Sus scrofa: one gene and its partners. The protein of the gene in region 3 purifies or fractionates together with the protein of the main gene of each other region. This does not show direct contact. Links are inferred from orthologs where the notes say so. Each region holds a gene or a part of one and is shown on either strand. Other genes may lie near its edges.

Region 1 (4,071 bases), on a different chromosome or scaffold from region 3:
GCACACAAGCTCCTGAGCCAGGGATCAAACCCGAGCCAAAGCAGCAACCCGAGCCGCTGCAGTGACAACACCCGATCCCCAACCCACTGAGCTACCAGGGAGCTCTTAAACGTGACTTTTAAATTCAGGAGCAAACAACAAACACAGGTAACGGTCTCGAGGCTGCAGTGGGCAGGTGGAGGGGGCCGAGGCCGTTTCTTTCTCTTCTACGGTTTACGAGGGGCTGGGCTTGTCACACGGAGCCAGACAAGGCAAAACCACAGCATGAGCCACCAGCATCAGTCACGAGAGGGAAGACTCTGGGTTGACTGTCACCTGAGATGGGGCCAGGGTGCCCAGTCTGCTGGCACACCTGCAGGGCCAGAATCAGGCTGCAGCTGTCCCGCAGGCCTGGCCCGGCTGTGCAGGCTCCGGGAGCACGCGATCCGAGGGCCGTGACAACCCTGCAGAAAGGCCATGGGGCTCCCGTCTCACCCATGTGGGCGGGCCACCGGGGTGGGAAGCAGGTGAGTGCAGGGGAGCAGGCACCGCCGATGCTCAGCGTGTTCCACCTGGCTGGCAGCTCGCACCTGCCGGACCGGACAGAGACGGTGGAGACGCAGCCCATGGGACGAAGGGAGAGCTTAGCTGGCAGGAGGGACTCAGGGTTGGGGGCGATCAGGAGACACTCGGGAGCCGTGCTCATCACCAGGCGGTCAGCGTGTAAACGTGCTGATCGGCATCGAGGAGCTTCAAAACCCGAGGGTTCCTGCGCCCACGGCACCTTGCGGGTGGGGTTCAAGGCCCCAGGTGACCGTGACGTCAGCCCCACAGCCATGCTAGGGTGCGAGGAAAAGAGAGAAGGGCCACTGTCCCGGGCTGAAAGCCCTGGGTGCCCCCGCTGCAGTTCCCTGAGTGTCACGTGGGCCCTGTGCTGGGGTCACAGCCATGGGATCCTCTGGGCCAGCAGCGTGCCTAAGAACCATCTGCCTCCCCCAGGTCGGGGACCCTGCCACTCTGATCTCTGGGTCCAGCCAGCAGTCAGGGCTCAGGACGTGCCTGGGGGCCAGGTGACCTCACAGTGTGACAGGTATGCGAGCCCAGTCAAGCTGTGGAACCCGGGAACTCACGGAGGGCAAGGCCCTGACCAGCAGGCATGGCCCTTTGGGTGGGCCTGGTGTAGTTTAGCGGCCAGTTCTCGAGTTTCTAGAATGCCTACTGCAGGCCAGGCGCTGGTCCCAGGACACAGTGGTCACCTTTCTCTCCTCCCTACACCAGGACGAGATGTGAGTGCCACGCCCAAGGCCAAAGGGAGGGAATGGCAGTGAGGTTTCTGGACCCAGACGGCTGGGGGTCTGCTGCCCCCTTTGCCCACACGCACCAATTCTCGCCTGGGGGCGTGAGGGGAGATGGAGCCTTCCCTAACCCAGCACAGGCTCCCACCTCACCGGGCACCTGCCACCCGGCTCCCACCCACTCTCCAGACACCCTGGCCTCCTCTGCGTCCTCTGATGCACCAACGCCTGCTGCCACAGAGCCTTGACACCTGCCGCTCCTCTGCTGGGAACGCCACTGGTCTCTTTGGCCACCCTGTTCCCCTAGTTCATCTGCCCCGCTAACGACATGGCTCAGGGGGGGTTCCGTGAGGCCCGGGTCCCTGCCTGCCTGGTTCTACCAGCAGTCACCAGTGTCACCTTAACCTGACTCAGACCCTGCCACCTCCCTGCCTACAGCACTCTGGGACTTTCTGTAAGACTGACAATGGCCTCAGAGCCCCTCCCACAGGCCTCAGCTCCTCAGTCGTCTCCTGGCCAGGTCCTAACTGACCCCTCAATTGCAAGTAGGTGCCATGTGATAACCAGCTACCGTCACTAGGTTTGTGTTTTCTGTAAAACTGCTCGGAGCTACCTTGTTGAACAACTGGTCCCCTGCGGGGCAGCCCAGACGTCAAGTTCCCTGAGGACAGGGCCTGGTGTAGACGCAGGGAGGCGCACGGAGGGGGCTCTCGGCCACCACCTGTCTGGGGGAGGGTGGGGGCCAGCTCACCAGTGCCTGCATGTCGTACATGGTGCTCAGGTGGTCCCAGATGACCTTGGAGGGCACTTGCCGGCCGATGTTCTGGCTGAACTTGTCCCGGATACAGATCATGTGGAAGTGCCGGTTCACACCTGCAGGGGGAAAGGGTCAGCCCGTGGGGGCAGACAGGTAGTTTGGAGAACAGACGTGGGGGTCAAGGGGAAGAGAGGGGAGAAGGCGCAGGGGGAGACGGGGGCAGTGCTTGGAGGGCGCGGGGGTAGAATGGGGTTGGTGGCAGGTACAAGGGGGGAGAGGAAGAGGTAGGGGTCAGTGGGGGAGGAGCAAAGGGGGCAGGGGTGCAGGTGAAGGCAGGGGTCGGCCGGCGTGGGGGGGTGGGGGCGGGAGGGGGCAAAGTCGAGCGGGGGAGGGGACTGCAAGGAGCAGGCCGGGGAGGGGCGAGCAGGTGGGGGCAGGGTGTGCAGGGGTGCAGGCGCAGGAGGCCCCGCCCCGCCCGCCCCGCGCGCGCCCCCGGCCGTTGCCGGCCGCCCCGCCCCCACGCGGGTGCGCGGCCTCGGCGCGGCGCTCCGCTCACCGACGGGCTTGTGGCCCAGCATGGCGTGGAAGAGGCACACCTCCACCTCGGGGCTCCACACGACCGTCTCCTCGGCCGGGCTGGTGGCTGCCTCCCCGGGCCCCTTGTCGCCCGCCGCGCCACCGCCGCCCACCTCGGCCTCCCCCATGGCCCGGCCGCCCAGCGACGAGCCCCCGGCGGGAGCGGGCGCGGCCACGGGCTCCGCGCAGGCGCACTCGCGGGGCGGGCGCGCGCTCGGCGGGCTCGCTCTGGGGTTCGCGCGCGGAGTCGGCGCAGGCGCAGCTGAGGGCGGGGTCGCGGCGCCCCCTGGCGGCCAGGTCTCTCAGCGCAGCGCCGTCGGAGCCTGAGGAGGATGAGAGGGACTGAGGATGTAAACGCCCTAAATTAAGTTGTGGCGATGGCTGCACAGCTCTGGGTAAACCCCGCAGAACTGTGCGCTTTAAATGGAGGAATTGCAAGTTACACCTCAGTAAAGCTGCTAGGAAGAAAAAGAACAGGCAACTGACAATGCCCGCGAGTGTGGCTCCAAGGGCTTCAAAAGCCCCTGGCTGACCTCTGGCCTGAGTGTGGAACAGAGCGGCCCCCGCGCGCCGGGGCAGAGGCGTCTGGGCCCCGCGCCTTGACCGCGGGCCTCAGCCTAAAGGGCAGGAGGGCCCAGGCCGGAGGGGGCGGGGTTAACCCCCACGGAGGGGCGGGGCCTGGGCGGAGTCTGGCCTGGCAGTCCTGTGACGAACTCAAAGAAGCACCCAATGGAGGCCGCCGGCTCCGCCCCGGCCCGGCCCGGCCCCGCCCTCGCGGCTCCCCCCGCCCCTCTCCGCTAGGCCACGCCCACCGCGGTGCCAGGGCTCTTGCCCAACGCGCGAGCGCTCTTCACCTCCCGGGTGTAGACTCCCGCGTCGGGCTTCCGGGTCCTCTTCCGGCTCCGCGACCTGCTAGTTCTGTGAGCGCTGCAAGGTGCTGGACCTCTTCAGGCCTAAGCTTCCTCCTCCGTGCAGTGGGGTTACTGATGGGGCTTGGTTTCTGGGTGCCCCAGCACAGGCTCGGGCGTCTTAGCAGACATTTGGAGCCACAGCGGTGAGCGCTGCCCCTTGGCCGTGTGGGCTCTGGCCAGCCAGTCACCTCCCGGTGGACTCAGAGCCTGAGTCCCGGCTTCCCATGCTGGTGCCCACAAGGTGGGAAGACGCGGTCAGCAGAGCCGGCCGTCCTGTGAGCCATGTTATGGCTGGACGTTGTGATTCCATTATTATTATTATTTGCTTTTTTTTAGGGCTGCACCTGCGGCGTATGGAAGTTCCCAGGCTAGGGGTCGAATCAGAGCTGTAGCTGCCAGCCTACACCACAGCGGGTGTGAGCTGCATCTGCAACCTAGATACCACAGCTCATGGCAACGCCGGATCCTTAACCCACTGAGTGAGGCCAGGGATCAAACCCGCATCCTCATGGATCCTAGTTGGGTTCATTAACCGCTGAGCCACAAAGGGAAC
Region 2 (4,053 bases), on a different chromosome or scaffold from region 3:
AGGCAAAAGACTCTAGACTATAAATACTGCCAGGGTTTGTTTAGTTTTAGATTGACTTTTAAGAACCTTCACTTGCAACATTAAAGACATGGAAAGGACAGGACAAAAAGTCAGAAAGCCTGAGTTTTAACTCTAGTTCTATCAGAATTTGGATTTCTTCCTAAAATTGGGCAGGTGAAGCAGGCTCCTGAAAATAATGCAAATCAGCACTCATGCTCTAGACTGAAAAGGTTAATAATACAGAATTATAAAGGGGAAGCATTTATTTTTATTGCATCATTTAAAAAGTAACTAAACCACAAGTTTTCTTACTAAATTAAGATAAAATGCCAAGACATACCTAAGGGCCTAAAACAATACATAAGTACATAGCTGATCACTGTCTGCAGAAAGTAATATGCATTCACAGGAGTTCCCATCATCGCTCAGTGGTTAATGAATACGACTAGGAACCATGAGGTTGCCGGTTCAATCCATGGCCTCGCTCAGTGGGTTGAGGATCCCACATTGGCGGGAGCTTGGTGTAGGTCACAGACGCATCTCAGATCCCCTGTTGCTGTGGCTCTGGCATAGGCCGGCAGCTACAGCTCCAATTAGACCCCTAGCCTGGGAACCTCCATATGCGGCAGGAGAGGCCCTAGAAAAAGGCAAAAAAAAAAAAAAAAAAAAAAAAAAAAAAAAGTAATATATATTTCAGGGGCTAACTATTCATTCTAGAATAAGGTTTTTAATTCAAGTTCTTCCCAAACCCAAGTAATAGGATCCAAGTAACTACATACAGTATTGATACTTCGAGACTCATTTGCCACTTTTTCTTTCAGGGACATATTAACAGAAATACAACTTCGTGGAATCCAAAGCTGTGTTTTTTAAAGTTCAATTAACTTAATTCTCGAACGTGCTATAACTTCCTTATTTTAATTATCTTTTTCATGGAAAACTGACCTAAGCTAGAAATAAATTTTATTTAAAAACAAAAAGAATTTCCACATATGATTTAGCTCTAAAATCTTCAGCATAAATGTTGGGTTTTCATTTTGTTTATTTTTTAAGTTGAATATTCATTTGACACTGAGAACATATTCCTTTTCTACGGAAAGTGCAAGGCTTTCAAGTAATCAAACATTAACGAAGAATGTGGTTAAATCACAGCAGAAGTAGTAATAACAGGGTAATATAATGAGGTCACAACTGGAGCAACCAATCAAAGGCATTAAAGCATTTCCTGCAATATTAATAGTCATAAGAGAAAACCAATCACAGAAACCTTGGGCCTTCTTTTGACAGTCACAGAAGCAAGAGAACCAATCCACGCACACCCGAGGTTGACAATAAGGCGGGACCACAGGTTCATTGAAGAAATTCTTGAGGGTGCAGTTACTATGAACTTCGCACACAAGTAGCACCACTCGAGTCATAAACACTGTCAAGCCAGAGGAAATTCAACCATATCCAAAATTTAACGCATCAGGGAGAAAAAACATTTTTGCCCCAAATTGCTGCTATTAATAAAAATGCAGCTGTCAATATGGATGCAATAGGTCCTCAACTTCTAAAACACCCCCCCATGGCAATTTTTCAGGGACGCGGGGCGAGGACTGTGGAGCATCGGCAGCTAGTTGCCTAACATCGCCAGTCCCTTTCTAAAGCCTCACACTAAGCAGGCACCGTCCGGGCTAGGCAGGCAGAACCGACTCGCTCTGGGCCCGGAGCTAGCCGGTCAGCGGCTTCTAACGTTACATCCTCCTAGTGGTCGTGGCCCTCAGCCTCCCCGGCCGCAGTGCTGCACCACCTCAATCCTGCTGCACCAACGCGGGCCGGGGTGCGAGAATTACCTTGCTAAGAGGAAGACGATGTTTTGAAAGCGTTTTACTTTCCACAAGTCATTTCAAAAAGAACCCAATGCAAGGCTGAATCCAAAAGTGGGGGAAAAACGTTGCCTAGCCAAAGCATCCCCTGCGGATTAAATAATCCCACTCCAGGGGGACAAAAAAGGTAAACAGAGGCCGTACGTCAAGTGCGGCCAGAACATCCCCTGCGCCATTCCGGGCCGCCGCTTACGGCAAGGCCCCCTTACGGCAGCGTAAGCGGCGCTGCGAGCTAATCACAACACTGGGACGCAACAACATGGCGGCCGCGGGCGGGCGCTGCGCCGGCCGAGAGGGTTTACGCTACTCCGCCGGCGTAAGGTCCCAAGCGTTGGAGCGGCAGCGGCGCCCTCCAGCGAGCGTAAAGCGCTCTGTGAATGGCGAGGCCCGACTGACAAAGGGGAGGGGGGAGGAGGGAAGGGGGGGTAATAAACACTCGAGTCCCTACCGATTCCTCCTCCTTCTCCATCCCGGTGGGCATCTGGGGCACGGCCCGGTTGATGGAGACGCAGTCGTTGAGATCAGGCATGTCCTTGCCGCGGTAGATAGGCAGCGGTTTGGCGGCGTCCAGCGCCCGCGCTCGGAAGGAGAGTTTACTCATTGTCTCCCCGCCTTACAGGAACAGCCCGGGCGGCGGCGGCGGGGCGGGCGGGGAGGGGGGGAGGACTCCCGCCGCCTCCTCCACCACCTTCCTCAGTGCAGCGCGGCCGGCCCGCTCCTCCTCCTCCTCCTCACTGCCCCCGGCCACAGCATGGGCGCCCACCCCGCCCGAAAACAGCCCCCCGCCGCCCGCGGCCGCTTCCACACACTAGATCCGCCGCTCGCCCGCCCGATCCGCTCCCTGCGCCATGGCCAACATGGCGGACATTACCACAGCGGCGGCGAGCGATCCCGGCAGCCCGCGCGAGAGCGCGCCCCCGCCGCGGGAACGCGCCTCGCCCTCTCCCTCCCTCCCTCCTTCCCCTCCCTCGCCTGCCCACCCACTCTCTCCGCGGCGCTGCCGGCCCGCGGGAGCGTGCTCAGCCTCGGGCCGCTCCGGGTAGGGGGGCGGCAGCGGCCCTCTGCTCCGCTGCCGGCGCTCTAGCCGTGTGGCAGGTGTCAGGTGCGCAAGTTAACCCGCGCCCCCGAGCGTGCGCCTCTGCCTCCGCGGCCCCGACACCCAGCTAGTTGGGTGCCCCGGAGGACGGCGCCGGGCAAAACACAGCCGCGCTGAGCAGCCCGTGTGTGCAGAAGTCTGTGAGCGGGAAAGGGAAGATGTCAACCGAGCCACAGCTGCCCCACTGAGCCTGTACTTACACAGCACTTACCTCCACAGCGCCAGCTAATTCTCATCCTCCAAATCGCGCATCCCTGGGAGGTGCGAAAGGTCCATTCCTTCCGTCCGCTCCGAGGGGCGCAGACCTGTCGGGTCTCGTCTGCCCCGAGAACGCCTCCGCAATCCCGGCCCTCTTCCCGCATCTTTTTTTTTTTTTTTTTTTTTGGTACCTGGCCGAAAGAGCTCTCCAAGGTAAGGCATCCTCGCTTTCGCTGAGAGGATGCTAATGGCAGCAGTGAGGGTTAATGTTTGAGGCTGCCAGATGCAACAAGTGCACTTGAACCTGTCACCAAAACTTCAGAGTTATTTAATGGATGATATTTCTGATTTCAAAAATATTAAGCTTATAATTTTTAACCAAGGCAGAGAACATTTCCAGAGTGATAGATCCGTGTAAAATATTGGATGCTGTGGAAGATGCCAAGAGGTTTGAGGAAAAGTTCCTGTCCTCGTGCAGCTTTCACTTTGATGGGATGACAGAACGGTTAAAAAGATGAGTAACAGTAAGAGATGTAAATAGTTGAAGAACAGGGCAACTGAAAAGTAAATGACAGCCAAAAGAAAAAAAGTTTATAACTTGAAGAAAACTACATAGGCAATGACACAAGGCAGTAGAACATGCTTAATTACCAAATGAGTCATACAGGCCATAGTTGCCATGAGAGTTCAGAGAAAGGAGACTACTTTAGCCTGAACCGGTTAGAGAAAGTTCTAAAGAGGAGGTAAAATCCAGTTGACTCAAATTTATTTGGCAGCGATTGTTGATATCAACTTCATTTAGCCAAGAGTTCCTTAGTTAGACTTTAAGCATCACAGTTTTCCTACAAAAATCCCTGGGAAGAGTATAACACATTTTGTCATTTTCTAATA
Region 3 (2,695 bases):
TTCACCCTGTGGGGCCTGGAGACTATCCCTGGTCCGGATTCCAAAGTGCGTGGGGCCCTAACCTGGCCCAGCCTTGCTGCAGCGGTGAGTGGATGGATGGGCCCTTCCCTCCCAGGCTCCCCTTCAGAGTTGTTTGCTGAATCTTGCCCTTGAGTGGACTTGGGGCTTTGGGGCTGGGGAAAACACTGGGGCAGCATGGCCTCCCACCACTCTTCCCTGTCCTGTCTATGATTCTGAGCAGTTGGATCTCTGCCCTGAGTATCTGGGCCAGCTAGTCACTATACTGCAGCAATCCGATAGTAGGGATGATTTCCTCCTGTTGCAGATTCACGCCCAGGTACCAGAGGACTGAAAACCAGACCTTGAAACTGAAAGCCACTGATCCCTTCACTCCAGTGAACCCCTTCACTTTGGGAGCCTTCGTCACCCCAATAAAGGCGCTCTTCACAGAACCTGTGAGTGTGCCAGTGCTGTCTTCTCCCACAAGAACCTTTCATGGCTCTGGCCCATAGAAACAGTTTATTGCCAGGGGGCAGTGGGGCAAAAGAGGCCAGAATTTTGCAGCCAGTACCTCCCCCCCATTCCTACTTTACAAAAGAAAATTGTACAGCCACCAGCCCCCTGTACAGAGCACCCCACCCCCTATCTCACTGTACACAGCTGCCTGGCTCCCTCTGGTCCCTGGTTCACAGCAGGCCTGGGCCTGCAGCCAGCTGACCTTGGAGTTGACCTGAGCCCTGAGCTCTCCTTGGTGCTAGGCACCAGCTGGCCTTTACCAGGCCTGTCCTCTCCCTGTGGAGCTGTCCTCAGCCCTGTCTCCCCTTGCTGTGCCTCTTGGAGACCCCAGTGGGGGCGGGATAGGCTGTCAGCCCCAGTTCTGCTGGCTTTGCCGGCACTGCTAATGGGCAGTGCCTGGTCACCACTTTCCCCTCTTGCTCCAGTCCTTGGGAGTGAAGTGCAGACACTTGGAGTCGATCCGAAGAAGCCGCTTGAGCATAGCCCGTTCATGCCCGTCCACGATGTCCTCCGACAGTGTGAGGATATACTGGCCCTGGACGGGAGACGGGGCCAGGCAGGTCAGCCCGAGCAGGGCTTGCACGCTGCTCCCCTGCACACACCTGTCTCCCCTGCCTGCCTCCCTACCTTGTAGTAGTTGATGAGGTTGAGGTACTGTAGAGTGGAGATGACGTCCTCCTTCTTGATGCTGGTGATTTCACTGATCTCACTGTGGAGGGGCAAAGACCAGGTTTCCCGGGGCTTCATCTCTGCCCCAGGCTCCCAAGGGCCCGAGGAGTGAGAAAGCCCAGGAATATGCCATGCACCCCTAGGTAGGCAGGGCCAGGCTCACTTGATGGTGATCTGCGGCCTCTCCCCGCTCTCCGACTTCAGCCCCATCAAGATCTCCAGAATGGTCTGGGACCAGTAGCTTCGGTAGGATAGGAGGCCAAGGTCCGAGAGGGGCTTCTCAGGGGTCCCTGTTTTCCCTTCCACTTTGGAGAGTTCATAGCCTAAAGCAATGGAGCAGGAGAGGGTGGGTGAGCGATCCCAGCGTTTTGCCACCCTCTGTTAAGAGCACAGGCTGCAGAGGGAGACTGCCTGGCTCCCACCCTGGGCCTGCCAGGTGGTGGTTCTGTGGCCTGGATGCATGGCTTGTCTGTTCTGTGCCTCAGTTCCTAACAGAGGACCAGTGACCATACTCTTCCGCTGTGTGCTGAGAGGTTCAGGTCCAATCACCTAAGAGCCAGCGAGGGCTTACAGCTGGGGTGGGGGAGTACAGAGGAAGTGGCTTGTGGAAAGAAAGTGGCTCCAGCTTTCCTCTGTCATGCTAGACTCAGCCTGGACGTGTGAGGAGAGAAGTGGGCAGGCCCCACCTCTGGTCCGGGCCTGAGGGGACGCTTGGATTCTCAAGTCAAGTCAGTTCCTGAGAAGCATCAGCTGCCCTAAGACCAGGCTGGCCTGACTGGTGGTTGTGAGGAAGGAAGGAGGGGAGCGGCAAAGCGCTCCCCCAGGCAGGGAGGCCAGTCCTCGCCAGGGGACTGCCCTCCTGCCACCCTTCCCTCCCACTCTGACGGCTCCACCCTCCTCCTCTACCCTGCTGACCACTGGGCACTGGCAGGCGGTTCCTGGTGAGACCCTGAGGCCTGTGAAACTGCAAGTGGCTTCACAGCTCTTGGACAGAGGCCCTGAGATGTCCACTACTTCTAGAAGCCCTTCTTCACCCTCAGCCAGAACCAGCCTTGGGTGGATGACGGCCCCCTGGGCTTTCTCTCCAATACATCTTTCTCTGCCAGTCTGAGCCCCTTGCCCAGCTTCCTGTGGCTTCCATCATGCAGCCTGTTGGGGAGGACAGAGAGGCTGGTGTCTGCAGAGCAAAGGGGCACACAGAGTTCTCACCCTCTGCACAGAGGGTCCTGATGGCTCAGTGGGGAAGCCACGCCTCTCCGGAGCTGCAGGAAGCCCCCCCCCCCCCGCCCCGGGAGCACCCACCCACCCTCTGGAGCTGCCTGGAATGGGGCTTCTGGTGTCCCTGTGTGCTCCAACTGGGCACAACTCGGCACAGCTCCTTCACGGCTCTGCCCACATCCCATCTCCCCTGAGGTCTGAGCCCCGAGGTTTAGACTGAGTTTCTTTCAGCTCTGCCTGTTTCTTTCAGCTCTGCCTGTTCTACCAGGCTGAGGGCTTCCTAAGGATGTGA
Region 4 (3,500 bases), on a different chromosome or scaffold from region 3:
TATAAACATGAAATATTATTAAATCTTAAAATTAGACTTAGTCAACAAAATCTTAAATATGCATTGTAAACCATCAAATCCTTCCACTTATACCCAGTACTCATAAAAGAAACAAGGTTAGAAAACAATAACAAAATATTGATAATTTATAGTAATTATGCTAGTCTTCTGGGCCCTTTTGACTCTGTACCAAATGTCTTTCACAAGAGACTTTGGTCTACCGACTTCTTTTTTTTTTTTTTGTCTTTTTGCCATTTCTTGGGCCGCTCCCGCAGCATATGGAGGTTCCCGGGGTAGGGTCGGATCAGAGCTGTAGCCGCCAGCCTATGCCAGAGCCAAGGCAATGCGAGATCCGAGCCGCGTCTGCGACCTACACCACAGCTCAAGGCAATTCCGGATCCTTAACCCACTGAGCAAGGCCAGGAACCGAACTCCAAACCCACAACCTCACGGTTCCTAGTCGGATTCGTTAACCACTGAGCCATGACGGGAACTCCGGTCTAGCAACTTCTAACCCTAGTTTAACACTGACCTCTCTCCTGGAGACTGGAGTACAAAAGCAGATATACACTGCCCTTGAGCGATAAGGGATAATTCATGAACCAAAATGGGAAGCAGCGCAAGGAAATCATATGTTAAATTCACAGAAAAAGACAGATAAATAACCCTACTAGGGTACTTCATAATTCTTTTTCGAGTATTTTAGTTAGTGAAATAATAAAAGTTACATAAGAGTATTTAGAAATTAATCCCCCTTTCCCTAATTTCCAAAATTTAAAATATGGACGTCTCCGTCTCTTTAAAGAAAAAGGAAACAGTCTTCAAATGAGTAGAAAACAACCCAGAGAAACTTGAGAAAGTCTTTGTCTTACCGGTGCTTCTGACATTAGAACAGGATGTAGGCTGGCTTCTGACTTGACATGCATTTTGTAGGTATGATCCAAAATAGCCTGGAAACTATCCCAATCTTCAACTAGAATATGAGAGTAATACCTTGAAAACAATGCTAGTTGAAGAATACAGCATATTTTGAGAGATTGTTTCTAATGATTTAGCTTCTAATACTTTTAATATACAGAACCTGCTTATTTTACAGATCTTCTTCATAGAACAGTACTTTATATTGACATTATCTTTGTTTTCTAGATATGGTTTCTCCAGCCCCCAAAGTATTACAATCCCCAGACTTGTCCCAGATGTAATTAATGTATTAAATAGACATAAAATACCAGATAAATATTACTCAGTAAGTACTTATTAGAGGCCCAATATGCAATTGGAATGGTAAGGGAAACAAAGAACTGTTATGATCTAGACCTAACATTCAAAAAGTATACTCTACAAAAAAAAAGATGAAAAGACATTTTAAAAATTTAGAAAATAGTATGTTTTCAATTTGGACTCCACTTAAACATTCCATTGAAACTGCTTGCGTAAACTGCTAATAAACTGCTAATAAGCTTCTAACGGCAAATCCAGTGGATTCTTCACATTTGTAATCTCATCTGACCTCTTTAAATTAACTGACACTATTGATTCCAGAGTTTACACTTTTCTTGCCACAGAACATTGAAGAAATGTCATTACTTGTACAACATACTTCTACAAGTCTATCAGGATGGGGTTTTTTGGTAAATGGAATTCCTTAGTAGTTTTAACTTCTCTTTCCCTTTAGTGTAAATCTCAACGGCATAGCAGAGAACAATGAGAATCACTGCACTTCTTTCTATACTTCTAGAACATTTTCTTCTCTTGGCCTTCTCCTGAATTTTTTCCTACTTCACTAACCAATCCTTTTCATTCTCCTTCACAGGCAGCTCTATTGGTTAAATATATAATAAGTTTTCAGAAAGAATCCCACCCTTAATTCTCTTCTCATATCCCAAACTCTTTTCTGGATAACGCAATCCATGTCTTAAAATCTTTCTCACCTGCTTACTAGAATAGCACTTATGTTCAAACACTTGGAACTAACAACAAACTCATTTACTTGCTGTTAACTTAGCAGACCTGAGTAAGGCCTGCTTGCAAGGCTGACCCTTGGCTGCCCCCTAGGAATTTGGCTGGTAAACAGTTCCCTACATTGATATAAATGTTCCCTAAATAAGAGTAGCTCACTCTGCCTAAACTATTTATACAAACAATGTGAACACCTTATTTCCTTCTGAGAGTCTGGGATTTTGGTACATGTTAGGTATAGATACCTATATGACCAAACCAAATAAAAACCATAGATACTGAATCTTTTTTTTTTTAATAGAAAAGAATCACTTATTCCAAGTATCAAGATGATATAAGAAAAAATATTTGCAACAATGTCCTTACACCTTTTTTTTTAAACAGCCCTATAGAAGTATAATTTACCATGACATGGATACATTATAAGCTTTACAATTAAATGATTTTCTTTTGTAAATCTACAAAGTTGTGTGAATATTATTACCATCCAATATTAGAATATTTCCATCCCTCCCAAACTTCACGCCCTTTTGCAGTCACTTCCTACTCTATCCACAGCCCCAAGCAACCACTACTCTGTCTATAGAGATTAGCTTTTTCTGATTTTTTTTTTTTTTTTTGGTCTTTTTGCCATTTCTTGGGCCGCTCCTGAGGCATATGGAGGTTCCCAGGCTAGGGGTCCAATCGGAGCTATAGCCACCGGCCTATGCCAGAGCCACAGCAACACGAGATCCGAGCCGTGTCTGCAACCTACACCACAGCTCACGGCAACGCCGGATCCTTAACCCACTGAGCAAGGTCAGGGATCGAACCTGCAACCTCATGGTTCCTAGTTGGATCGTTAACCACTGAGCCACGACGGGAACTCCTCTGATCATTTCTTATTACATTACATTATTTCATTCTGATCATTTCTTATTACATTACATTATTTCATTATGTGGAGTTTTATTTTAGCTTACATCAGTTATTTCATTTTTTTTTATTGCCAAACAGTACTTCATCTTATGGATATACCACATCTTATATATTTGGGCTATTTTCACTTTTTGTCTGCTGATATGGATAATGCTGTATGAACATTTGCATAGAGGTATTGGTACAGAGATATGTTTTAATTTCTCTTGTATTGGTACCTAGGAGTGGAACTGTTTAACCCATTAAGAAACTGTCAAAATTATTTTCCAAAGCCACAGCCACTACACCATTTTATGTTTTCTCTTAGAAATAGATACAGAGTTTTAGTTTCTCTATAACTTCATCACACTTGCTATTGTCTGTCTTTATAATATGGCCATCTTTGTGAGTGTGAAATAGGGTATTGAGCCTTTTTTTAAGCTCCTCTAATAGACCACACACACACGTTTCTGGTAGCTGAAGGAATTAAGCACATCCTTTACAACTTCACTATAAGCTCCTGGAAGCCTGCACTAGTTTCTTCTGGACTTCACTACATGCCCCTTTTTTTCCCTTTGTCAATTTTGCTTTGTATCCTTTCAGCATAATAAACCTTAGCCGTGAATACAATTATATGCTGAGTT
Region 5 (4,273 bases), on a different chromosome or scaffold from region 3:
TATATAAACAAGAGATGTTCATTAACTGATACACACAACGACTTTTACTGGGAAACTACGGTGTTCCAAGTACTGTGTTAGAGGTAGCTAGACATATAATGAACTAAATAGACACAAACCCTACTCTCCTGGAGTTATAATTAGTGGGAGAGAGTGACAATAAAAAGTGCACTTATAAATCAATGCCTAATGCCAAATTGTGATATATGTCTCATAGGAAGAAAATATATAATATCAATGGATAGCAAAGTTCCCACTGTGACTTAGTGGTAATGAACCCAACCAGTATCCATGAGGATGTGGGTTCGATCTCTGGCATTGATCAGTGGGTTAATAATTCAGCATTGCCATGAACTGTGGAGTGGGTCACAGACACGACTTGGATGCCCCATTGCTGTGGCTGTGGTGTAGGCCAGCAGCTGCAGCTCTGATTCAACCCCTAGTCTGGGAACTTCCATATGCCACAGATGAGGCCCTGAAAAGACAAATGAAATAAAATACCAATGTAGAGGATCATTTTTTATAACCTATTAAGGAACACATATTACAGGGGGTTAAAAGATCTGAATAAACTGGTGCCAGGCACAGAAAGAGCGAGAGAACCAACATCTTAGAGGAGAAACACAGCCAGCGAGCTCTAAAATGGAAAACTGCAATGTTGGAGGAAATGAAAGACAACTAAAGGAACAAGACAGTAGTTAGCTAGAGTAAGACAGTAGTTAGCTAGAGTAAGAGTATCATCAGGTAAAATTGAATTCAATTAATACATTAATCCAATTAATACATCTAGGCTCCACTTCCAAGATGCAAGTGGTATAACACATATTTCCTAAGTAACACCCTCTGAATTGGCAAATCCATTGTTCCTTTTCAGATCTCAACCAAAATGATCCCTTTGCAGAATTTGACAATGATGCTTATACCATATCTTTCTGGATCTAATTCTGCCCTTAGCACGCCATCTTTTTTTGGGGAGCCGTGCCTGTGGCATGTGGAAGTTCCCAGGCCAGAGATCAAACCTAAGCCACAGTGGCAATACAGCCACTGCAGTGACAATGCCAGATCCTTAACCCGCTGCAGCACAAAAGACCACCATGCCATTTTTTTCTAATGCTAAGAGTGTGGGCTTTGTAGTCAGACTGCACTAGTTCATACCCTGGTCCTGCACTTACAAACTATGTAACTTGGGCAGTTAGCTAATCTCTCTCTCTTTTTTTTTTTTTTTTGTCTTTTTAGGGCCACATCCACGGCATATGGAGGTTCCCAGGCTAGGGGTCTAATAGGAGCTATTGCTGCCAGCCTAGGCCAGAGCCACAGCAATGCAGGATCCAAGCTGCATCTGCAACCTACACCACAGCCCACAGCAATGCTGGATCCTTAACTCACTGAGCAAGGCCAGGGATCAAATCCACAACTCCATGGTTCCTAGCCTGATTCATTTCCGCTGTGCCACGACAGGAACTCCAACTAGCTAATCTCTCTAAACCTCAGTTTTCTCAATGATAAAATGAAAAACCACATTAGAATTGAACTAGAACTTCAAAGTTACTTTAAAGATTGATGTACATGTTTAACACACTGCCTGGGACATAGCAAATGCTCAATAAATATCAGCAATTATCATTATTCCCTTCTTTTCTGTTTCGCATCTCTTTTAATGGTTCTTTTTCCACCCACACCTGAAAGAATATCCTTGTCTCCTTGCTTCTCAATTTTCTCCCAGTTAAGACCATATCCCAGTAAGAGCATATGTTCAACATGTTGAAAATGCCCAAATGTACTTCATTACATGCAGGACCTCTCTCTTCTCCTTTTTTTCCATTTTTTAAAGTTTTATGGAAGGACAGTTGATTCACATGTTGTGGTAACTTCTGCTGTACTGCAAAGTGATTCAGTTATACATGTACACACATCCATTCTCTTTCCATTTCTTTTCCAACATAGATTACCACAGAATATCGGGTAATGTTCTCTGTGAGGCTCTCCCTAGAGCTTCAGGAACCTTCCACACGTTATGCCTTCATATGCATTTACCCTTCTGTCTGTAAGGCTCCCACCTCCCTCCAGGGCAGTTTAACACTGAAATCTCACTGCAAACTGAAACTGATTCTCCCAGGCCGTTTCCACAGAACTTCATTCACTCCTCTTCCATCACAATGTTCTTCTATCACATTATCACTCTGAATTGTAACAGTCTTTTTACTTCTCTGTACCTGGTAAAAAACAGCAAACACTCTTGAGTGGTGACACAGGATAGGATGATGACGAGATAGATGGTACAGCGAGATCACACAGCCAGCTGACAGAACCCCAACTCCGGGAGTGTGATTCCAGAGCCCAAGCTCTTAACCACGAAACTTCAGTTTAAGCCTCAACGAATCACTCGTTGACTTAAACTACTAATTATGACAGGGGAGAAAAAGATGATTAGTTAAGCCATCTAGTTAATTTCTGGGCACAGAGGCAGGGGACGCACAGGAAGGTTCAAGGCTAAGTCCACCAGAGGCACGAAAAGAGAGCTGGAGAAAGCAATGAGTACCAGAGTCCCGTCAAGATGAGGTGGGGAGAGGAGTAAAGGGGCGCATATGGGGGCTGGGACAGAGCGGCCCGGAGGCATCTTAATTCCCCAACGCAGACGCCACTACACGGCTTACGCACCAAGACGGCTGGACTGGACAACCAAGTGGAATCCCTGGTGGCGGCGTAGCCGCAGACCAAATCCCCGCTCCACTCCCAGCAGCAGCCCGAGCCACCTGTCCACGCACTGATCCCGCTTCCGACCAAACTCAGCGTGGCCACGCAGCGTGCGTCCCGGGCGGAAGCGGTAGAGGTGCGGAGCGTTCGGGTACGGTCCGCCCACGCGCGCCGGACACCAAACACTCTCCCAAAACACCGGGCTCGGAAGGGAACGCGCCTGCGCACTGTCTGCCAATGGCATGCGACCCTGCAGCCACGCTCTCCCTGCGGCTTGGTCTCCAACGCTCGCGCCCCGCCTCCTCGCCCCCTTGACCCCACCCGCCAAACGTGAGCACGGAAATGACGTCAGTGCCAGGGAGAACGGAGGCGGGTTTCATTTCGGCGCCTTTCTTTCTCCCGCGGAAGCGATTGGCTGGCGTGGAGCAAAAGAGGCGGGACAAATTGCAGCGGGGTTCAGTGCCGCCACCGGGACCGGGAGATGCGGCGCAGGAGCCGTCGCTGTTGGCTTTTACCTGAGTCTCGTCTCTCACTGCGGGTACTCCTGCGGCTTGGATCATGCTGCTACCCTCGGACGTAGCCCGGCTGGTATTGGGTAAGCGTTGACGCGGTAGAGAGGGAGACCGGACCGGGCTGAGCTGGACGGAAGGACCCTCGGGGCCAAAGGTTTCCCCAGGGAGGGAAGCTCTGGGGCTTTGCCTCCCCGTCTCCGAGTTCAGGCTGGCGGTGGTTCTTCAGCCGGGGGCTCGGGCGGTTCGGGCTTTGTGTGTGGACACTCCTCTCCTTCGAGGTTGCGTGATGAGGAGAGGCTGAAGGAAGCCCGGAGTGGAACACCTGAAGCCGGGATTGGAGGGAAAGTCAGGCCTACACTTAATTAGGACCCTGCCGGGAAGCTGCTACGTGATGCACCGACGGCTTCACCTTGGCACACTGCACTTTGTCAGAATTGGGACCAAAGTAGGAAAGAGAGGGACTTCCCCCAGCCCCCTCCCCCCAGCTTTGTAGAAAGACATTCCTGACGCCCTTCTCGTAACTCGCCCTTAGAACTGCGAATTTGGGACGAATGGGTGATCTTCCTTCCTTATCCCGTCCCTCCGCAAGAAGTCGTCCAGTGTAGAGGTTTGAAACGCTAATTGCATACTTTCTGACGGCAGCAGCTCGGGTTCTTTTAATTAACAAGAATTTTCACAGGGGAAATGCCTTCCATTTGAACATTTCTAGTCCTAGTTAGTTTTTCCTCATTTTGAAAACAGTTTAGTTCCACGGCCAGTTGTCAGGGTACATTGTATGGGAAACGGGTTTTGTTATTTGTCGTCTGAAAGAATAGAGGATTGTACTGCTAGGAATGAAAGCCACATAAAGCTTAAAACTCGAGCCAGTGATTTACAGGCATCGTATGTAAATGGTAAACATCTGTAATGAAACTTCCCATGGAATCTACAGCCATTACTTTATTGTCACAAAATCCCATTTCTTGCTACTTTTTAAAGAACTCAGCCCTGCCCCTCCCCTCCAGTGGCTTTCGTGCACAGGTTTCTGATAAGTACATTTTACAGAAAACATTAGAGGGTAATCTGTT
Region 6 (4,115 bases), on a different chromosome or scaffold from region 3:
GTCTCACTGGAAAGCTAATATAATTCCAATTTAAATAATGATTCTGCAAAGGAAGCCTAAATAATTCCTATCCTCCAATCCTCATCCAGCCCTAGGGCAGATTTTATAACTGGAGACTTTCAGGGAAAAAAAAATGTTTCAAATAGACTGGGTTCCAAACATGAAATTCCATAGTCACATTAATAAGGAAGGCAATAACTGAAAAAGACCTTAATTTTCCAAAATATGTATAAATATGAAGTATTTGACAATACTTCATACATTCAAAATATTACCTTCAAATCCTTCAAGGAAAAAATAAAACAAATTCTTTTTTAGTGACTATTACCAGGGATAATTTTAAGACCCCTGGGACAACTGCATTCTTTGATTTTATGAAAATAACGGCTCTCGATAATTTTTTCTAAATGGATAACTGCTTAGACAACCTCAGAATCTCTGCTCTAAAGAATAGCAGGTATAAGTTAGAGGGCTTGCTTTTATTCTGTGAGAATTAAATTCTTAGATCAGAGGTCTCCAAGCAGAATGTGGCAATTCTAACAAGCTCCTGAACAACTTGGTTGTCCCAAACGTTATTTTGAAAATCAGAAGAACATTATAATCCAGATTTCTAAAATTTCTTTTAAAATAGAAAGATAAGGCAATACTGAGTCCTCAATCCCACTGGACTGGCCACCTTTTTAGGAGAGGCATGGGCTCTCTAGTACCCCAGTCCTCACCTGTGCCCTCAATTCCTGACTATCTCACTGCCAGGGCTCCCTAGAGACATCTAAACTTTTGACCCCCATTCTATACACTTCCTACTGTTCCCATCTGTCAAATATTAGACACTATGATATACTCATTTCTCTTCCCCTTTGATTTTTTTCCTCCTCTGATCTATTCATGGAACACCCACAGTACTATCCCATACTCCAAAGACATGAGATTATGTCTATCCTAATCCATAGAACCACTTATGGAAAACATTAATATCAAAACTCTGAGAAATCATTGATAACACTTTACAGTCTCAACCACCACTTCCTAGCAAACTTCACTCTGCAATGCCACTTTTCTTCAACAATTCTACCTTCTTTATACTGCTCCTTCGACTCAAATACAGTCAGACCGTAATAAGCTGCTGAATATGACACGGTCACATTCAACCTTTGGCTCCTCTACAGTTCCAATTTCTGCATTAAAGTAATACCAAATTGTGCTAGATTCCATAGGTTTACAGAAGTCACATGACTTTTGGTTAAAGGTGATTTCTCCATGTGGCTTCAACTTCACACAACTATTCAGATAGTTTAGAACCTACTGTTCTTAAATAAATCTGACCACTTCTTCCTGAAAGAGTACAATTTACTTCAACATGGTGCATTTCTCATTCCCCATTTAAATAGTGACAGCTAGAACTCTCATCTAAACACTACAGAAAGATTCATTTCCCTGCATACAGCTTCTCTCACTCACCTACAGCCACTGGAACTTATCACCTGAGAATCTAGAATTATGAGATTTACAAACCCGCCCCCCACCACCACCTACAACCCCAGGACAAGGCCCCACCTCACCTTAGCGGTTAACAGGAGAGTTTACTACAATATTAAAAGCAACAGAACTCTTTTTCTCTCTAACCCCAAAAAGGACTAGAACTGAACGGAAATGAAAATGAAATGGAGAGTAGGAGACGTACCGCAGATTGAAACCTCGGTTGCTCTTCCTGGAATAAGAGAGAAAAAAAAAATAGAAAATATAGAAGTTATTTTTACACTTCACATTCAATAATAAGAAAGAAAATGCCGGCGGCAGAGGAAGCGGCGGGTGGGGAGTAAGCCTTACCTCCCCCTCCCTCCCTTCCCACCCCACGCCCCCATCCCTCCTCCCCAGCTGGATCCGGTAGGGGGGCGGGGGGGGGTCCGAGCGCCACCCCTCCTTCCGGGATCCGAACCGGGCGAGAGGGGGTCCACAGCACTGTCTCCTCCCCTTGCACCCAGCTCAGGACTTCTGGGCACTCCCAAACCCTCTCTGCCCTCCCTCACCCCCCAGGATCCGCCAGTCAAGGGAGGAGGGGGCCGTGGGCCTAAGGGGCAGGTCCCGAACGCCGTCCCCTTCCCCAGAATCCGGACAATGGGATCCCGAGCGCACCCTGTCCCTATGTCCCGGATCCTGAGCCAGCCAGAGAGAGAGTAGGAGACGGCAGCACCTTCCCCCACGGGGGGAGGTGGGGGTCCCAGAGGCCGCGTGTCTCCTCCCCACCTCCAGACCCAGAAGGCCGCTCCGGCCAGGAGCCCGGAGGGGAGCGAGCGGGGAGCGCGACGGAGGCGGTCCCAGCCCGGGGGGTGGGGGTGGGGGAAGGGGAGAGGCGGCAGCTGCCCGGCCCCCTGCCGCAGTCGCCCTGCTGAAAATCCCGGCCGCTGTCCCCGCCTGACAACTCGCAAGGGAAGGAAGAAGCCCCAGGACTCACGTCGCTCTCCACCTCGATGTCATCGTTATCGCTCATTTCCTACGGCCCAGGGAGCGGCCACTGCAGCGGCGGCAGGGAAGGGGGAGGGGTGGAGGGGAGGGGGAAGTCACCGACAACAACAAGCCGAATCTCCACACACACACACACACTCACTCACTCGCTCTCTCACTCACACACACACTCACACACACACACACACACACACAACACGGGCGAGAACCACCTCCTCACTGCAGCACCGGATCAACGGCGGCACGCACGCCCGGTCGGCCCCCTGCCACGTGACCAAGCTCGTCACGCTGGGGCCGCCGAGACTTGTAGTTCATATCCCTTTGAATGATGGCCCGGCTAGCTCCAGAGAAACTACAAATCCCATAAAGAACTGCATCCAGTCATTCCCAGCCCGACTTGTTGACGGAGCCCAGAGCGCCTGCGTGTCCGGTGGAGCAGGGGGGAGTGGAGAGAGGAGCGGCGCGATGCCTGCCGGGAGTCGTAGTCCGCAGACCGCGAGTTGTCAGGAGATTTTCCTACAGAGGCAGCAGAGGTGGCTGCTGGGAAGACAGGACACGTGGAGGGAGCTGGGACTCCTGGAGCCGGGCACTGTCTGGGCGCCTGGCCCAGGGGACAGGGTGGAGGCTGTGGACGAGTAGCCGGTTGCCGAAATAACGCTGTCTCTCCTTGATGCGACTGGTTTTACTTTGTTTTCTAGACCTCTGAGTCGCTCTGTGTTGTGCTCTGGGGCGTAACCCGTCTGCTGTGGGATCCTGCTGCGGGGGACTAGGGGGCGCGGCTGCGGATGCTCACGTGGACCCTGGGGATCTGGTAGCGAAGAGGTGTCAATGGCAGGTGTTAGTGTTACTGGACAGGCAGGATGACCGGCCTAGCTGAGGGACCATTCCCACGAGACTCTTGTATTCATTCACCCTGGAGTGACCATTTTGCTACTCAAGTGAGGCTTGTACATTCCCAGATCCTGACCCTCAACAACTGCTTACGTGGAAATAAAAACGCCTTCTGAATTGGTTGTAGTCTAAGCAGTTTAAGAAGTGCCCCAGTTCAGAGTAGCATAATCAGTATATCAAATGAGAAACAGCTCTCTATCCACTTAAAATCCCACTTAAAAACTGCTGTATGCGGGAGTTTTAGTCGTGGCGCAGTGGTTAACGAATCCGACTAGGAACCATGAGGTTGCAGGTTCGATACCTGGCCTTGCTCAGTGGGTTAACGATCCGGCGTTGCTGTGGGCTGTGGTGTAGGTTGCAGACGCGGCTCGGATCCCGCGTTGCTGTGGCTCTGGCTAGGCTGGCAGCTACAGCTCTGATTCGACCCCTAGCCTGGGAACCTCCATATGCCGCGGGAGCGGCCCAAGAAATAGCAAAAAGACCAAAAAAAAAAAAAAAAAAAAACCAGCAACAACAAAAAAACAAAAACTGCTGCATGCGGTATGATCATAGCTATTTCCCCAATATTTATTGAACACCTAACATATGCCAGCACAAGAATGCCATAATGTATAAGACCTGAACGTTACCCATCTTCATGAAGCCCACAGTTGTGGAAACAAAAACGAGACTGCCCTGCTGCCAATTTAAGAGTATGTTCATCAAGTACCACCGGAAGAAAAATACTACTACTAAGAAAAAGTAACTGAACCACACTTTAC
Region 7 (3,500 bases), on a different chromosome or scaffold from region 3:
TGCTGGGCTAGGAACTGAATGGGCACTGTAGCTGATGGCCTACGACACAGCCACACCCGAGCCACTTTTGTGACCTACACCACAGCTCATGGCAACGCTGGATCCTTATCCCTCTAAGCAAGGCCAGGGACTGAACCCATGTCCTCCTGGATACTAGTCAGGTTCATTACTGCTGAGCCTCGAAGGGAACTCCCAGAACTTTTAGGCTTTTTAGAAAACCTTCTAGAACCTAGTCCCCTCCAAGTAGCATCTACCTTTTTAAATACCACCTATTTTTTTCTCTTTTTTTTTGGCTGCACCCGCAGCAACATTCCAGCTGTGACCTGTGCCACAGCTTCAATGCCACAAGGGAAACTTCTCACTTTTTTCCCCTGACTTTCAGGGCTGCCATCTGCAGCCCCAGGTAGGGGTCAAATCCAAGCCATGTCTTTGACCTATACCAGAACTCATGGCAACACTGGATACTTAATCCACTGATTGAGGCCAGGGATTGAACCCACATCCTCATGGTCACTAGTCAGATTCGTTACCACTGAGCCACAGTGGGAACTCCCTTGTTCACCTGTATTTGTAATTACACTCAAACATCAGTAGCTTGATCAGTATCTGCAGAACTTGCTACAGCTACAATGCCTGGTAAAGAATATGCGCAGAGGCTTATTCAACTGAACTAAAATTTATTTACAGCTATGATTAGAACACGTAATATATATATTGCCTGAAATTTCTTGCCATGGAGTTCCCATTTTGGCTCAGTGGGCTAAGAACCTGACATAGTGTCTGTGAGGATGCATGCAGGTTTGATCCCTGGCCTCCCTCAGTGGGTTAAGGATCCAGTATGGCTGCGGCCTATGTCTCAGCTGCAGCTCTGATTCAACCCATAGCCTGAGAACTTCCAATATGCCACAGCTGTGAACATGAAAAGGAAAAAGAAAATTTTCAGTTTTCACCATGTATGGTAAATGGAACAGACTTAAGGTTTTAAGCTGTATAACCTGCATCTAAGAGCACAATTTCTGCTGTTTCTGCCATTGATGATACTTGGGTGTAAGTGGTTTCAAAAAGCAGTAAGTGATTTCACCTTTGTTAATACTAATTGGTGTGCCAACAAAAAAGGGCAGATGCTATTTATGATGCTCAGAAGAATCAGATGTTTTCTAGATCTGAGATAGCACATAATGGTTAAGAGAACCTGAAACCAAACCTGGTTCTTCCGCAGCTGTTACCTGAATGGTCCTTGATTTCCCACCTGTACCAGAGAAGTAATGGTTCCTATCTCACAAGATTAAAATAGGAAATGTAAAGGCACTGACCCACAATAAGCACCCCAATCTCAAATCACTGCTACCAGCTATAAAGCTCTCACCAGATAATGGCAAAGCCCTCAGTATTTCCCAACTTAAAGCTTACCGCCTTATTCCTAGACAAACACAAGGTACAGCGCACACTTTCACACATTTCTTCCCCATGTTTAAATAAGATACCCATGTTTCTTTTTCTAGCTTAAATTATCAATGTTACAGTTTCTCTAAACACAACTATTACATTTAGCTGCATAAACTTACCCTAACCTGCCACAATTGCTCATTCTCACAAATATTTTGTAACAATAATTATACTTTCAGAATGGTTCAACAGCCTTTCTTACCATCAAGCCGTTTACTAATCTGCTCCTTTGCAAGTCTAGCTGGCCAGCATTTTCTTACTGTTTCGGCAACTGAAGTTCTTTCATTTTTCTCTCCATTACTGCAGGCAACATTCTTCAAACCTGGACTCTCCATCGGTTCTTTAACACTTTCAATGCTCCTAGAAGTCTGTACTTCCTGTGATTTCTCTTCAACACAGTCTTTTGACTCAGACACATCTAGATCATCAACATTACTCTTTGTTGCTTGGTCTAAAAGAGGGAGAGTCACTGAAGAAGCTGGTGGTGAAGTTCTTTCTGGTGAACTAGAGCCTTCTGAAATATTAAGAGGTGTGGGTGGTAATTCTGACAAGTGAGCCAACTCTTTTTGTGTTCGTGGAGGCTTTTCAGTAATTTCTGAAAGCTTTACAGGGTTGCAGCAAAGCTTGGCATATTCACCTCCTAACCTATGACACAATTCATTAATAATGACATCACAGTCTCCAAGAAGCTCTACATCAAAATGCAGGTGAGGCAAAGGTTCCCTATTAATTAATATCTGAGGCACTTCATGGGGTATGGAACCTAAAAATAGGGTGAAAAAGTAAGAGTTAGAGAAAGGAAAGGAGGTACACTAATAAAACCACAACAAATGCACTATGTAAAAATCTAAAATGCTCAATACCGAAAAAAGACACCCACCTACAATATTTAACCAAGCCATTACATATCAAGCTATCAAGCATCTTTGAAAATTTCAAGTTCTGCTCCATCGTCTGGGCAATCACTTCCAACTTTTCCATTCTGTACCAACACATTTTGCTACCCCACAGAAAACTTTTAAGAAATACTCTGCCTGGAGTTCCCATCGTGGAGCAGCAGAAACGAATCCGACTAGGAACCATAAGTTTCGGGTTCAATCCCTAGTCTCTCTCAGTGGGTTAAGGATCTGGTGTTGCCGTGAGCTGAGGCATAGGCTGCAGACTTGGCTCAGATCCTGCGTTGCTGTGGCTCTGGTGTAGACCAGCTGCGAGTAGACCCCTAGCCTGGGAACCTCCATATGCCGCGGGTGTGGCCCTAAAAAGCAGAAAAAAAAAGTTCTCTGCCTTACCTTTAAAGAGGGAAAAAACCTTCAAAAATAAAGAAGCTCATTTTTCCTTTTTTTTTCCTTTTAGTTATAAATTGTTCTATAGTCTACTTTAACAGAATTTAACAGCTGTTTAGGGAAGACTGAGTTAAACTGCTAAAGCCACTACACGTAGGTTAGGATAAAGAATTGGAGAATTTTACTCTGTCTCTTCCAGCATTCTGGCTGCCTATTTGCTGGTGTGGGGGTCTAATTTAATTATCTAGCTAAGGGTTTTGATATTCTCGCCTCTGTTCTCCTTCGCTCATTTTTAGGGCACAAGTGACGCTACTGAATTAGTCCCTTTTCTCTCTCCCACTTGCTTGCTCACTAGAGAGAGAAAAAAGGTACACTATAGAACATGGGTTAAAGAAATATTCATGAGGGAGTTCTCACTGTGGCTCAGTGGTAATGAACCCAACTAGTATCCATGAGGATGTGGGTCTGATCCCTGGTCCCACTCAGTGGGTTAAGGATCCGGTGTTGCCAAAAGCTGTGGTCTAAGTAACAGACACGAATCGGATCTGGTGTTGCTGTGACTATGGTGTAGGCTGGCAGCTGCAGCTCTGATTCAACCCCTAGCCTGGGAACTTCCATATGCCATAGGTGTGGCCCTAAAAAAGTAATAAATATTTGCAAGCGTAATAGGAACTTAAAATTGTATCTGAGCATTTGCATGCACATCAACACCCTTGTGGATACAGCTGATGCACATATCATGATTATGACAAGGACTCATCTTCTTACCAA

The links.
Region 1: the proteins of KAT5 (region 3) and MRGBP purify together in Homo sapiens (co-immunoprecipitation; 8 studies listed by BioGRID and IntAct, counting the BioPlex papers as one, with this or other methods). This does not show direct contact. The link is inferred for Sus scrofa from reciprocal best matches to the Homo sapiens genes KAT5 and MRGBP.
Region 2: the proteins of KAT5 (region 3) and EPC2 purify together in Homo sapiens (affinity purification with mass spectrometry; 3 studies listed by BioGRID and IntAct, counting the BioPlex papers as one, with this or other methods). This does not show direct contact. The link is inferred for Sus scrofa from reciprocal best matches to the Homo sapiens genes KAT5 and EPC2.
Region 4: the proteins of KAT5 (region 3) and ACTL6A purify together in Homo sapiens (affinity purification with mass spectrometry; 6 studies listed by BioGRID and IntAct, with this or other methods). This does not show direct contact. The link is inferred for Sus scrofa from reciprocal best matches to the Homo sapiens genes KAT5 and ACTL6A.
Region 5: the proteins of KAT5 (region 3) and ATM purify together in Homo sapiens (affinity purification with western blotting; 3 studies listed by BioGRID). This does not show direct contact. The link is inferred for Sus scrofa from reciprocal best matches to the Homo sapiens genes KAT5 and ATM.
Region 6: the proteins of KAT5 (region 3) and MAX purify together in Homo sapiens (affinity purification with mass spectrometry; 3 studies listed by BioGRID and IntAct, with this or other methods). This does not show direct contact. The link is inferred for Sus scrofa from reciprocal best matches to the Homo sapiens genes KAT5 and MAX.
Region 7: the proteins of KAT5 (region 3) and SIRT1 purify together in Homo sapiens (affinity purification with western blotting; 3 studies listed by BioGRID). This does not show direct contact. The link is inferred for Sus scrofa from reciprocal best matches to the Homo sapiens genes KAT5 and SIRT1.

Annotation. Positions count from the first base shown.
Region 1 is NC_010459.5:62,057,130-62,061,200, reverse strand, and holds the start of MRGBP (MRG/MORF4L-binding protein), read right to left. Parts: upstream 2,801-4,071; 5' UTR 2,736-2,800; coding exon 2,588-2,735; intron 2,148-2,587; coding exon 2,026-2,147; intron 1-2,025.
Region 2 is NC_010457.5:3,523,424-3,527,476, forward strand, and holds the start of EPC2 (enhancer of polycomb homolog 2), read right to left. Parts: upstream 2,801-4,053; 5' UTR 2,470-2,800; coding exon 2,317-2,469; intron 2,227-2,316; exon of another isoform or gene 1,836-2,226; intron 1-1,835. UniProt on the Homo sapiens protein: May play a role in transcription or DNA repair.
Region 3 is NC_010444.4:6,563,830-6,566,524, forward strand, and holds the end of KAT5 (histone acetyltransferase KAT5), read right to left. Parts: intron 1,509-2,695; coding exon 1,349-1,508; intron 1,226-1,348; coding exon 1,144-1,225; intron 1,052-1,143; coding exon 917-1,051; 3' UTR 501-916; downstream 1-500. Other genes in the region: RNASEH2C (ribonuclease H2 subunit C), read left to right, coding at 1-84, 326-352. UniProt on the Homo sapiens protein: Catalytic subunit of the NuA4 histone acetyltransferase complex, a multiprotein complex involved in transcriptional activation of select genes principally by acetylation of nucleosomal histones H2A and H4.
Region 4 is NC_010455.5:117,608,415-117,611,914, reverse strand, and holds part of ACTL6A (actin-like protein 6A), read right to left. Parts: intron 974-3,500; coding exon 873-973; intron 1-872.
Region 5 is NC_010451.4:36,619,291-36,623,563, reverse strand, and holds the start of ATM (serine-protein kinase ATM), read right to left. Parts: upstream 2,801-4,273; 5' UTR 2,659-2,800; intron 2,400-2,658; 5' UTR 1,680-2,399; intron 1-1,679. Other genes in the region: protein NPAT, read left to right, coding at 3,253-3,289.
Region 6 is NC_010449.5:89,165,466-89,169,580, forward strand, and holds the start of MAX (protein max), read right to left. Parts: upstream 2,801-4,115; 5' UTR 2,489-2,800; coding exon 2,453-2,488; intron 2,283-2,452; exon of another isoform or gene 2,134-2,282; intron 1,709-2,133; coding exon 1,682-1,708; intron 1-1,681. UniProt on the Homo sapiens protein: Transcription regulator. Forms a sequence-specific DNA-binding protein complex with MYC or MAD which recognizes the core sequence 5'-CAC[GA]TG-3'. The MYC:MAX complex is a transcriptional activator, whereas the MAD:MAX complex is a repressor.
Region 7 is NC_010456.5:71,115,167-71,118,666, reverse strand, and holds part of SIRT1 (NAD-dependent protein deacetylase sirtuin-1), read right to left. Parts: intron 2,210-3,500; coding exon 1,649-2,209; intron 1-1,648. UniProt on the Homo sapiens protein: NAD-dependent protein deacetylase that links transcriptional regulation directly to intracellular energetics and participates in the coordination of several separated cellular functions such as cell cycle, response to DNA damage, metabolism, apoptosis and autophagy.